3 linked regions of the Caenorhabditis elegans genome follow. The protein of the gene in region 1 purifies or fractionates together with the protein of each later gene. This does not show direct contact. Each region holds a gene or a part of one and is shown in the gene's direction. Other genes may lie near its edges.

Region 1 (5,115 bases):
ATGCTCCAAGGGCGTATCTTCTCCTACACGGACACGCATTACCATCGCCTTGGACCAAACTACATTCAGCTTCCAGTCAACTGCCCGTACCGCTCCCGTGCTCATACCACTCAACGCGATGGTGCAATGGCTTATGAAAGCCAGGGAGATGCGCCGAATTACTTCCCGAACAGTTTCCGCGGATACCGTACTCGTGATGATGTGAAGGAGTCGACATTTCAGACGACTGGAGATGTTGATCGTTATGAGACTGGAGACGATCACAACTACGAGCAGCCACGTCAGTTCTGGGAGAAAGTGCTCAAGGAGGAGGAGAGAGATCGGCTCGTTGGGAATTTGGCTAGTGATTTGGGTGGCTGTTTGGAGGAAATTCAAAATGGAATGGTCAAAGAGTTCACGAAAGTTCATCCGGATTTCGGAAATGCTCTTCGCCATCAGCTCTGCCAGAAGAAGCATTAAATTGTTTGATATTCAAACTTTTGTATATAGAATCTCGTTATTTATAAACTCTTTTTTTTGTATTTCTTCTGGTTTTTGATGATAAGAAATTTTATGTGCACATAAATCAAAAAAGCCGGAAATTAAATAGCGTTTTATCAGGCAGAAAATTGGCCACGTGACGTCATCATTTTCCTGTTTGAAGAAAATCTGGAAAATTTTTTGTTTCAGTCAATTTTTAAAGATGAAAACTTAAGTTAGACTGTAAAAGCAATTTTCGCGCCAAAATTACGGTATCGGGTCTCGAAACGACAGTTTTTTATCTATTGCGAAAATATGTGCGCCTTTAAAGAGTACTGTAGTTGCAAACTTTTGTCGCTGTGGAGTTTTTATCGATTTTTTATATTTTTTCGATGAAAACAACTCAAATATAACAATAAAAACACAAAATTAAAAAAAAAATCGATAAAAAATCCGCGTCAACGAAAGTTTAAAGTTACAGTATTTGTCGTTTCGAGACCGGGTACCGTAGTTTTTGGTGAAAACATTGCAAAATTTGGTCAACAATTTCATCGCTGCGAGACCGACACAACACTTTATTTTATTTTTGGGTTTCCCTTATCGCTTATCATAAACATGTGACGTCATCATCTCTTGTACAGAGCACCGCGACTGGGAGTATAAGAATCGCCGGAAAACATCAATAATCAGTTCGGTAGAAGTGAAAATTGAGCGTAAAATATGATCATTTTTCGATGCACCATATTTGACGCGCAATACTTCTACAAGCCGCTGTGTACTGCTCGTGGACAACTTTGGATTATTTTTTGTTTTTAAAATTCAAAATAGTCAATATATTGCTTATTTATAGCGCGCCTTTTTGACAGTAAGTTTGTCAAATTTGCGCGTAAGTTATGGTGTTTGCACATATGCACCATACAGCAACACCCCGCGGCCCGGCTAGTGGTACATCCATGCAAATGCGCTCTACTGATAATTTGAGTTTAACCAGGTTTAGGCGCAAGATAAGAAAAAAGCTTTGGACCAAAAAATTTAGAGTTTATTTTTTTCGGACATTTTTTATATACATCACAAAAATATTGGGCCACTCGTTTTTGATAAAAACGACAAGCCCAAAAGTTCAGGTATACGGTAGACAAATTGCGTACAGGTACCACTTTTCCACGTAGTGCCAGGTTGTCCCATTACGCTTTGATCTATGAAAAATGCGGGAATTTTTCGTCCAGAAAAATGTGACGTCAGCACGTTCTCAACCATGCGAAATCAGTTGAAAACTCTGCGTCTATTCTCCCGCATTTTTTGTAGATCTGTAGATTTGTAGATCAATCCATTCCCCGTATACCCTGACCCATAATCAATACCTACCTAATTTTTGTCTTTCCCCCTACTTTTTTGCCTGTCCAAAATAAGCGAGACTATGCCGTAGTCTGGTGTCCAACAACATGTTCCTTATCAGTGATAACGCTACAATCTTCTTTCTTTTTTCTCTGTTTCTCTTGTCTCTCCCAACCCATATTCCGTATTACACCTCGTCGTGGTCATTTTTTTGTTCAGAGTTTTATTTAATTCTAAATTTCCTAACTAAAATTTCAGAACCAAAATGCCAAACGATCCATCGGATAATCAACTGAAAACCTACAAGGAGACGTATCCAGTGAGTTTAGAGTTTAAAGGCACAGACGCATTTTCTACAACAACAACTACTATTTACAGTAACTTGTTTCAGAAACCCCAAGTGATCACAACTTCAAATGGAGCTCCGATCTACTCGAAGACCGCCGTGCTCACCGCCGGGCGGCGTGGCCCAATGCTCATGCAAGATGTAGTTTATATGGATGAGATGGCTCATTTCGATCGTGAACGTATCCCCGAGCGTGTCGTTCATGCCAAGGGAGCCGGAGCCCATGGATACTTCGAGGTCACCCATGACATCTCCAAGTACTGTAAGGCCGATATCTTCAACAAGGTCGGGAAGCAGACCCCACTGCTAATTAGATTCTCTACAGTCGGTGGTGAGAGCGGATCCGCCGACACCGCTCGTGATCCACGTGGATTTGCGATCAAGTTCTACACCGAGGAGGGAAACTGGGATCTGGTTGGAAATAACACTCCGATCTTCTTCATCCGTGACCCTATCCACTTCCCGAACTTTATCCATACCCAGAAGCGTAATCCACAGACTCACCTGAAGGATCCCAACATGATCTTTGACTTCTGGCTTCATAGACCAGAGGCTTTGCATCAAGTGATGTTCCTGTTTTCCGATCGAGGACTCCCAGATGGGTACCGTCATATGAATGGATACGGATCCCATACATTCAAGATGGTTAACAAGGACGGAAAGGCTATCTATGTGAAATTCCATTTCAAGGTGGGTCCTTAATGTTATTTAAATTTTTCGGTCTATAATTTCCAACTTCAGCCAACTCAAGGAGTGAAGAATCTCACCGTGGAGAAGGCCGGTCAACTTGCCTCTTCGGACCCAGACTATTCCATCCGTGACCTGTTCAATGCTATTGAGAAGGGAGACTTTCCAGTATGGAAGATGTTCATTCAAGTGATGACATTCGAACAAGCTGAGAAATGGGAGTTCAATCCATTTGATGTCACTAAAGTTTGGCCACACGGTGATTACCCACTGATCGAGGTCGGCAAGATGGTGCTGAACAGAAATCCAAGGAACTACTTCGCTGAGGTAATGGGCTGGGCTTGACCGCCTAGTTGCGCGCTAAGGTGGCCTAGTCGGTCCCTTTTCTACTCGGACTGTTTCTATACCGGAGAGCTTGCGGTACGGTAGTCTCGTAGGATTGTGTTTTGGTACTGTACAGAGCCAAAGTTTTTTGGGGTTACCACAGAAAGAGAGCAGGTTCTTCTCATTCACCACAACTATTACTATTCGAGTCAGGGTGGTACAGAAGCTAGGTGAGTGCAAACGTGCTCTACCGAACGAGTAAATTTTCTTGCGGCCATTTTTCATATGCATCGCAAAATCCAAATTTGGGTTAGTTTTCGAGATAGCAGCCAATACAGGTTTTTAGACTGATTATCATGAACCAAGCCATCTAGTTTCTGTGCTACCGTGTGAAGTGTGGTAAGGCATGCAATTGCGCTCTAACGAGAAACTAGGGCCCATAAGACGGAATTGATAGCTCTCACGTGGTGCCAGACTGTCCCATTATGGTTTGTTTTTTTTTTATCAACAAAAAATGCGGGAATTTTTTTTGCACAAAAAATGAGACTTCAGCAAGTTCTTAACCATGCGAAATCAGTTGAAAACCTTGCGTCTCTTCTCCCGCATTTTTTGTAGATCAAAGTAGATCAAGCCGAAATGAGACACTCTGACACCACGTGAGTTCAACGTGAATAGCTAGTTTTGGGAAACACAAAAACGTTTTTCCAAAACTACAGTAATCCTACAGTACTTTATTTCCAGGTTGAACAATCCGCCTTCTGCCCGGCCCACATCGTCCCAGGAATCGAGTTCTCGCCAGACAAGATGCTCCAAGGACGTATCTTCTCGTACACCGACACTCATTTCCACCGCCTTGGACCAAACTACATCCAGCTTCCAGTCAACTGCCCGTACCGCTCCCGTGCTCATAACACCCAGCGTGATGGTGCAATGGCTTATGACAATCAGCAACATGCTCCAAACTTCTTCCCGAACAGCTTCAACTATGGAAAGACTCGTCCGGATGTCAAGGATACCACATTCCCAGCCACTGGAGATGTTGATCGTTATGAAAGTGGAGATGACAACAACTATGATCAACCCCGTCAATTCTGGGAGAAGGTGTTGGATACCGGGGCTCGGGAGAGAATGTGCCAGAACTTTGCAGGGCCGCTCGGGGAATGTCATGATTTCATTATTAAGGGAATGATCGATCACTTTTCAAAGGTTCATCCAGATTTTGGAGCTCGTGTCAAGGCACTCATCCAGAAACAGGCTCGCTCTCATATCTAAACTTTCTTGAAATTAAAAGAAATTAAATGTACTTTTTATTGTAATAACTTGCTTTATTGTGTATAAAAAATATGATAATTAAAAATAAATAAAGTTAATATAACTTAAACTCTCCACCAACTCACAGCGGATGTAAAGCTCTAAACTTATCAGCAAGCCTCTGGCCCAACAGCGAGTCATGCTTCAGGGTCTCCCTCTCCACCAGCAGCTCAGGCGTCAAAGCCCAATTCTTGGGATCCTTGCTCAGAATGCAAGACTGTATCAGTGTCTGAACGAAAAGGTCCCGCTGGGCATGAGATCCTCCGATTTGGACAACTTTATCGCGAATTGGGTACATAGTCTCGGCAGCTGTGTCGTAGTCGCAGCGGGCAAAGTCAAGCATCCCGTCGTAGAGGGGCATCCCGATGGTCTTGCTGATTTGGGCATTGTCCTCGGATAGCAGCCTGAAAAATGATAGTTTGATATGTGGTAAGTTTGACCTAGGAGCTGATTATCACATCTAATTCCACATATCCTAACACCTTTCGATACAACGTTTTTAAATTTTCGCCAATCACGGTTTGATCTACAAAAAATGCGGGAAATTTTCCCTAAAAAATGTGACGTCAGCAGGTTCTTTATCATGCGAAATCAGCAAAGACGTCTGCGTCTAAATTCCCGCAATTCTCGTAGATCTACGTAAATCAAATCGA
Region 2 (2,869 bases), on another chromosome or scaffold:
AACGAGACGCTCACCAAAAAGAAAATAGCTAAAGCCATTATTGCTGCACAAAAAGCTTCTCAAGCTGTGATGGATGCACGTGTAATTATGGGAGCCAAAGGCGAGGAACTGACAAAGTGAAAATAATTGATTTGTCTGTTAAAATTTCTAAATTATTGAAATTTTATAATTAATAGGTCTCAATCTGATGCAGTCTTTCCATATGAACATTGTTGCATTGTCTTAATTCTGACATGGTCTTGGTACATTGTCTGTCCAACATTTCAAAGCAAAATATCATTATTTGGGAAAATCTTTAAAAGCATTTATATGTTGTTAAAATGACCCAATATCAAAACGCAAAACGTTAGAAAAAAATTATCTATGAGCAGTTAGTTCGATGATATTGGTTGAAAACTCAGTTAAATATGACTATACTTTTGTAAGTCGGCCAAAACATGTTTTTTTGAATTTTCGCCAATTTTTAACCATGTTTTAAATAGTTGTCATTGACCAATATAGAAATTTTAAACCTGCTGCATCGCTTCCATTTTTTTTTCAAAAAATTTACTTAAAAAAGGCCAGTTACCAAAACTTCGATTGAAAATTTTGAATTCCCTATTCACAATGGGAGATCAGAAGCAAAGACAAGGAAATGAAAAATTATATCAACACTTTTCCCATAGGGAGTGAATTAATTTTGACTCTTAAAGCTAGACAATGTGCGAATATTTTGAATGTTACCACATGATAAGTTTTTTGTTAGAGTTATGCGATATTGAGTCATAAATCGGTTATAATATCATACAAAGGATCTTAGGTTTCTAGGGAAGTTAATAGAAACAGTCTATGCGGGAAAATCTGAAACGGAATGAATAACCTCACGTTCAAAGATATAGTTGCAAAAAAATATTAAATGTTGTTTCAAACCGCTCCGAATACAAATGCCACAAGTCCTTTCATAATTTTCAGAAACAATAAAGTTTTATCTAAAACTAATCCATTGCCTCGAACCTCTCGGTAAATCTAGTGGACACTATTTTGTTAAACAACTTTTACTTACTATGAATCTAAACTTATTTGATGACTATTTTTGCAGTCTTACAAAATTGAATAAGTTGAACAACATTATTTTTCCAGATGAACATCAGAGCGGAATAAAACACTGAAACGTTGTGGAAACTAAATACTACCGCCGAAACAGTAATATATTTCTGGAAAAAAATAAACACCTACTTCTCTTACTTTGTGGTATTTTTACTCGAAAACAGTTATATATTCAAAATATAGTTTCATTAATTTTTTAAATTCATGTTTATGTCGTGGCGTGGCAATAATACTAAATGTTTATATTAACTTGAAAGTTCGCAAAAAATTGATCATAAACGAGTTTATATTTGTACATTACCTACTCGTTCTATCCAAAGAAAGTTTAAATATATTTACAAATAACAACGTAAGTTGACGTTATTCTAAATGTCATACATCTGGATCGTTAAAAAACAGTTATCATGCATTGCAACATAGTATAAATGTTTAGTACATTCCTGCAAGCCGGACAATTTTCCTATTTATCACGAGTTTAATGCATATGTTGTCGATCTGTAACCTTTTTTCTATTCCATACATTATGCTCTCCGCTTTCGACGCTGCTTCTTATCAAATGGTCAAGTAATCAAAATTGGGAAGTTTTTGCTATAAATGCGCCCCTATCACCGCGTGCTCTTTCAATTCTTCCTTGCGTTTTGATGCTTCAGTGTTTCATTTCAATTTATTTTATTACAGAATGAAGACTCTTCTTGTACTAGCCGTTTTGGTCGCCGTTGCCTCAGGACTTGCCATCCCAGAAAATAGAAGCGCATTGAGCTGTCAAATGTGTGAGTTGGTTGTCAAGAAATACGAAGGATCCGCCGATAAGGATGCCAATGTCATCAAGAAGGTAATAAATCCGTGCTAGAAAAAAACCAACAACTCTTGAATATTCTAGGATTTCGATGCTGAATGCAAGAAGCTTTTCCACACCATCCCATTCGGAACCAGAGAATGCGATCATTACGTCAACAGCAAGGTAGACCCAATCATTCACGAGCTGGAAGGAGGAACCGCTCCAAAGGATGTGTGCACCAAGCTTAACGAATGCCCATAAACGGATCATTGAAATTTTTACTTGTTTGAAACTTTTACCAATAAATTTTCGATTTTTAAAAGTTTCAACCAGAATTTTGATAAATATAGAATAATTGTGACCAGAAATGTATTGGACCTTATTTTTTAGAAAGGGCCTCAAGTCTAATAACGAATCATAATAGTACTGATAAGGACTGTAATCCAAAAAGCTTCAATCCAGGAGAGTGGGGAACAATTGAAAAAATGTGTATCATTATGATTTTAGAGTTTGGAACTTGCCCGGTCTGCACACCATGTACACGTGACTGTTATTGCTTGAAACGCTGAAAGCTCGTTGCAAGCTTTTCTTGAGTTTCTAGAATTATCTTGAAGCTTGAAAGCTTTTCGCGCACAATTATTGATTGAACAGCGAAAAATGAGTACACTTTTTTCAAAACCTTTGATACTTTTTTGACACATTAGGAGTTTGGTTTGATAAGTTTTCTTTGTGAAATTGTCCTGCCCTGGACACCTAATTTTTACAGATAACAACATACAATTTCAGGGAAGTGCCGCGTCTTGATGATTTGCAATATATAATACCTGTAACTTTTTCACAATTATCGAAACTGTGATCACGTGAAATCACATAATATTCCGTTTATCTACGGATACAACAGAAAATTAAGTTCAATAGATCAAAAAGTCATCGAATTCCTTCAAAAAGACAGAGGGAGTCTGAAAAAAATTTGTTTAATGTAGGAAGTCGTATGCATAATACATT
Region 3 (4,136 bases), on another chromosome or scaffold:
TCGAACAAATAAGCTTTATGGCCCGAATTGGGAAAAAATGACGGTTTTTTGAAGATTTTGAATTCCTGGCAACTGATTTTAGCCACAAATTCGCGATTTTCAAGCAGATTTGAGCGAAATTCTAGTTTTTCCTCTAACATCAAATGAAAATCGCTTCAAAATTGGGTCAAAAATCCCAATTTTTCCAAAAATCACTGTGGCTTTTGAATTTAAATCCACAATTTCCCGGTATTAACCTTCTTGGAGATCTTCTTGAGCTCTGCAACGACGACTTCGACGGCGTTCATGACTCCACGACGGATCTCGACAGCGTTTCCGCCTTGACGAATGCTCTCGAATCCCTCTTTGGCGATGGCTCTGGCGAGAACTGTGGCGCAGGTGGTTCCGTCTCCAGCCTCCTCATTAGCCTTGTTGGCGACATCTTGAATGAGCTTGGCTCCCAGGTTCTGGTATTTGTCCTTGAGGTCGATGGATTTCGCGACGGTGACTCCGTCCTTTGTGATCTTTGGGCTTCCCCACGACTGCTCGATGATCACGTTTCTTCCCTGAAAGAGTTTGGAGTTTTAGAGGCTGTATTTATGAAGAAAAAAAAATTAAATTTTGCATTAAACCGGAAGTTTTGTGTATAAAAATACGTTAAAATAGATTTTTTTACAGCATTTTTTCCTCAATTTTCACATCAAAATCCCCGTACTTTTGGGCCCATAGTGACAGAGACGGCGTCGGCGAGCAGGTTGACTCCGACGAGCATGGCCTGTCGTCCTTCGGCTCCGAACTTGACGTCCTTGGCGTAAGATCTGACGACGGCGGTCTGAAGTCCCTTTCTGGCGAGGCGAAGCATCTTTTGTGTCTGAAAAACTACGAAAATTGTGTGAAAATCTGCAGCGGAAAGGCGAAAATGCGAGCAAAATCAGAGTTTCTCATCGAAAATGAAGCGAGAAGCCTTGCATTATCGTCTGAGAAGCAGAAAAGGAGTGAAAAATAACGAGAATGGATGAGAAATCGGCTGGGAAAACGGTAAAACAGATATTTCCCCTAATTTAGACGATAAATGGCCTATAAATAAGCATTTTTCAATCGTTTTTTATGAAAATGAAGCGAGAAGCCTTGCATTATCGTCTGGGAAGCAGGTAATGACTGAAAAATACAGGAATAAATGAGAAAATAGCTGGGAAAACTGTAGAATAGTTTTTTCCCCTAATTTCGACGAAAAATGGCCCAAAAATAAGCATTTTTCAATGGTTTCTGATGAAAATAGAAGCAAAAAACCTCAATTTTTCGTTCAAAATATGAAAAATGAGAGAAAAATAACGAAAATGACGCAAATTTTGATGTAAAATGGCTAATTTACATCAGAATAGACTTTTGCATCATTTCACTCGCTCCGCCCAGTTTTGCAAGGTGCGCACACTTTTCTAGGTGGAGCTGAGCGCGCTGATTGGCTGAATTTGCGGCGCGGTGTCTGCCATTGGCCCGACACGCCTAGATTTGCAAGTTTGCCGCACGAGATTTTTCGCGCCGCACATTTATTTTCTGCTTTTTTTCTCGAAGCTTCTTTTGGTTTTTTGATCATTTTCTGAATTTTCGCGGGTTTCTTCGGGTTTTTTCGTTGTTTTCATGTAATTTCCCGCTAAAAATAAATTTTAAAACTCAAAAAACCAATTTTTCAGCCGAAAAATGTTCCTCACCGCTGTCCGCCGATCGGTAAGCTATTTTCCCGGTGTTTTCTCCGAATTAAACGCGTATTTTTTTGCAGAGCAATGTCCTCAAGACCTTCAAGCCACTCTATGATCGTGTGCTCGTCGAGAGAGTCGCCGCCGAGACCAAGACAAAGGGAGGAATCATGCTCCCGGAGAAGTCACAGGGAAAAGTGAGCAATTTTTGGCCTAAAAATTGATTTTTCAGGTGAAAACTGATAAATTTCAACGTCTTGGAGCAGATTTCTAGCACAAAAATGCCAATTTCACCGTCAAAATGGTGCAACTTGGCGTCTAAAACACAGTTTCTAGCTAAAAACCTTCAATTTTATACGAAAAATGTTAATTTTCACCGAAAATTCCGTAAAGTCTGGTGTAATGATGCAATTATCGATTTTCCCTGCCAACACGCTCTCCGACTGCTCGCGGAGGTTTTTGTCCAATTTTTATCCGAAATTACCGAATTTTCACTCAAATTAAAGCAATTTCCACCTAATTTTCGAATATTTCAGGTCCTTGAAGCCACCGTCGTCTCTGCCGGAGCCGGACTTCGCAACGAGAAGGGAGAGCTCGTCGCATTGACTGTGAAGCCAGGAGATCGTGTCCTTCTCCCAGAATACGGAGGCACCAAGGTACAAAATGCGACGAATTTCGAGCGAAAATATGGATTAATTGGCGAATTTTTAATGTGAAAATCTGAATTTCCGTTGAAATTTCACACAATTTGGACGAAAATCGGGATTTTTTTTAACATTTCAGTGTAAAAGTAGCGTTATATTACTGAAAAGTCATTGAAATCAACGAAAATTGCACAAAAATTGTGTTTTTTCAGCCGAAATCCAAGATTTTTTCAGAAAAATCAGGAAAAATTGTATTAAAATACGATTTTTCCCCCAAAAACTGAATATCACGCGCTTTTCGCTCTAAATTATTGGGGAAATACCTTTAATATAGTACATTTACGCTAAAACCCAACGAAAATTGCACAAAATTTGCCGATTTTCACCGGAAATCTAGCATTTTCTCTGTAAAAATTCATTTTTATGAACGAATTTCGAGAAAAACTGAATTAAAGTACGATTTTTACGCCAAAAAACTGAATTTCATGGGTTTTTCGCTCTAAATTATTAGGAAAAAACCTGAAAATCAGTTTATTTTCGCTGAAAATCCACAAAAAGTGCCGATTTTCACCGGAAATCTAGCATTTTCTTTGAAAAAATCCCAAATTTCCTTCGTTTTTTAAGGAAAAACTAGGTTAAAATATGATTTTTACGCCAAAAAAACTGAATTTCAGGCGGTAAAATGTCAGTTTTTTCCAGTGAAATATAGTTTTAGGCCAAAATTTTGACAAAATACCTGAAAATTAATTAATTTTTTGCTTACAGACCGCGAAAATTGCGCAAAAACATATTTTTTCGACCGATTTTCGCAGGAAATCCCAACAATTTTTCCCCAATTTCAGGTCGTCGTCGAGGACAAGGAATACTCAATCTTCCGCGAGTCTGATCTTCTCGGAGTCTTCCATTAAATTATCTTCCATATGGCTTTCGGTCTCACAAATCTTCATTCAATTATTCCCCTCTCTCTCTCTCTCTGTTTATTTAATTTTTTAATTTCAATTTTTTGAGTTTAGATTTTAGGAAATTCCTCTTTTTTGTTGAAAAAATCGATTGTTATAGTTCCTTTTTTCCTTGATTTTTCGCCGGTATTGTTTTTCTTTTTTTTCGATTTTAAATAATGATTTTTCAGATTTTTCTTGTTCTCTGGCCACAGACAATGTTTTCGATGTGACAGGGCGAACCGAGAAAAGCTCAATGTGGCTTGGAGAACCGGAAAAAACAAACGGCGTACTTAAAAGACACGGCAGTGGTCGAACCTTTTCAAGCTCTGAGCTATTTTTTAACCGTTTTTAAATATTTTTAGCGCTTTTCTGCAATTTTTTGAAAAATTTTGAATTGCCGCCAATTTAATTTGTTCGATGGAGCGCGCTTGCATTATTTTACTGATTTTTTTTCGGTTTTTTGGAAATTGAATTTCCCGTCAAAAAGATCCAAAAATAAACTAAAATGATGCAAGCGCGCTCCATCGAACATCTTGAACTCTTGGCGGTAATTCGAATTGGAACGCAAACTGAGGATTTTCCTTCCAATTTTCAACAAAAAAAAACATTTTTTTTGGGGTACGGTAGCTTCAAAAGAACGCAAACACCGCAGTGCTTACGACAAAATGCAGAATTTCTCAATTTTTTGTAAAAATCACATGCCTATGGGTAAAATGAGGTGCTGAATCTGAATTTGTTAGTTAAAATTCATAAAACTAAAGTTGAAATGTCAAAAAATGAGTTTTTATGACTTTATCGTCAGGAAAATTGTATTAAAATTCATTTTTGCAGATTTTCATGTAAAAATTTGAAATCTTCGTGACATTTCACCCTAGAAA

The links. The genes of interacting proteins can lie anywhere in the genome.
Region 2: the proteins of ctl-2 (region 1) and spp-5 fractionate together in Caenorhabditis elegans (co-fractionation; one large-scale study listed by BioGRID). This does not show direct contact.
Region 3: the proteins of ctl-2 (region 1) and Y22D7AL.10 fractionate together in Caenorhabditis elegans (co-fractionation; one large-scale study listed by BioGRID). This does not show direct contact.

The regions. Positions count from the first base shown.
Region 1 is NC_003280.10:14,298,965-14,304,079, reverse strand, and holds ctl-2 (Peroxisomal catalase 1), read left to right. Parts: upstream 1-2,052; 5' UTR 2,053-2,059; coding exon 2,060-2,113; intron 2,114-2,185; coding exon 2,186-2,830; intron 2,831-2,881; coding exon 2,882-3,154; intron 3,155-3,892; coding exon 3,893-4,423; 3' UTR 4,424-4,524; downstream 4,525-5,115. Other genes in the region: ctl-1 (Catalase-2), read left to right, coding at 1-459; Y54G11A.7 (Tetratricopeptide repeat protein 38), read right to left, coding at 4,545-4,866.
Region 2 is NC_003284.9:7,319,250-7,322,118, reverse strand, and holds spp-5 (Saposin B-type domain-containing protein), read left to right. Parts: upstream 1-1,764; 5' UTR 1,765-1,765; coding exon 1,766-1,918; intron 1,919-1,966; coding exon 1,967-2,125; 3' UTR 2,126-2,182; downstream 2,183-2,869. Other genes in the region: T08A9.13 (uncharacterized protein), read left to right, coding at 1-120.
Region 3 is NC_003281.10:1,616,464-1,620,599, reverse strand, and holds Y22D7AL.10 (10 kDa heat shock protein, mitochondrial), read left to right. Parts: upstream 1-1,670; 5' UTR 1,671-1,677; coding exon 1,678-1,704; intron 1,705-1,756; coding exon 1,757-1,870; intron 1,871-2,209; coding exon 2,210-2,329; intron 2,330-3,159; coding exon 3,160-3,225; 3' UTR 3,226-3,449; downstream 3,450-4,136. Other genes in the region: hsp-60 (Chaperonin homolog Hsp-60, mitochondrial), read right to left, coding at 237-545, 695-841.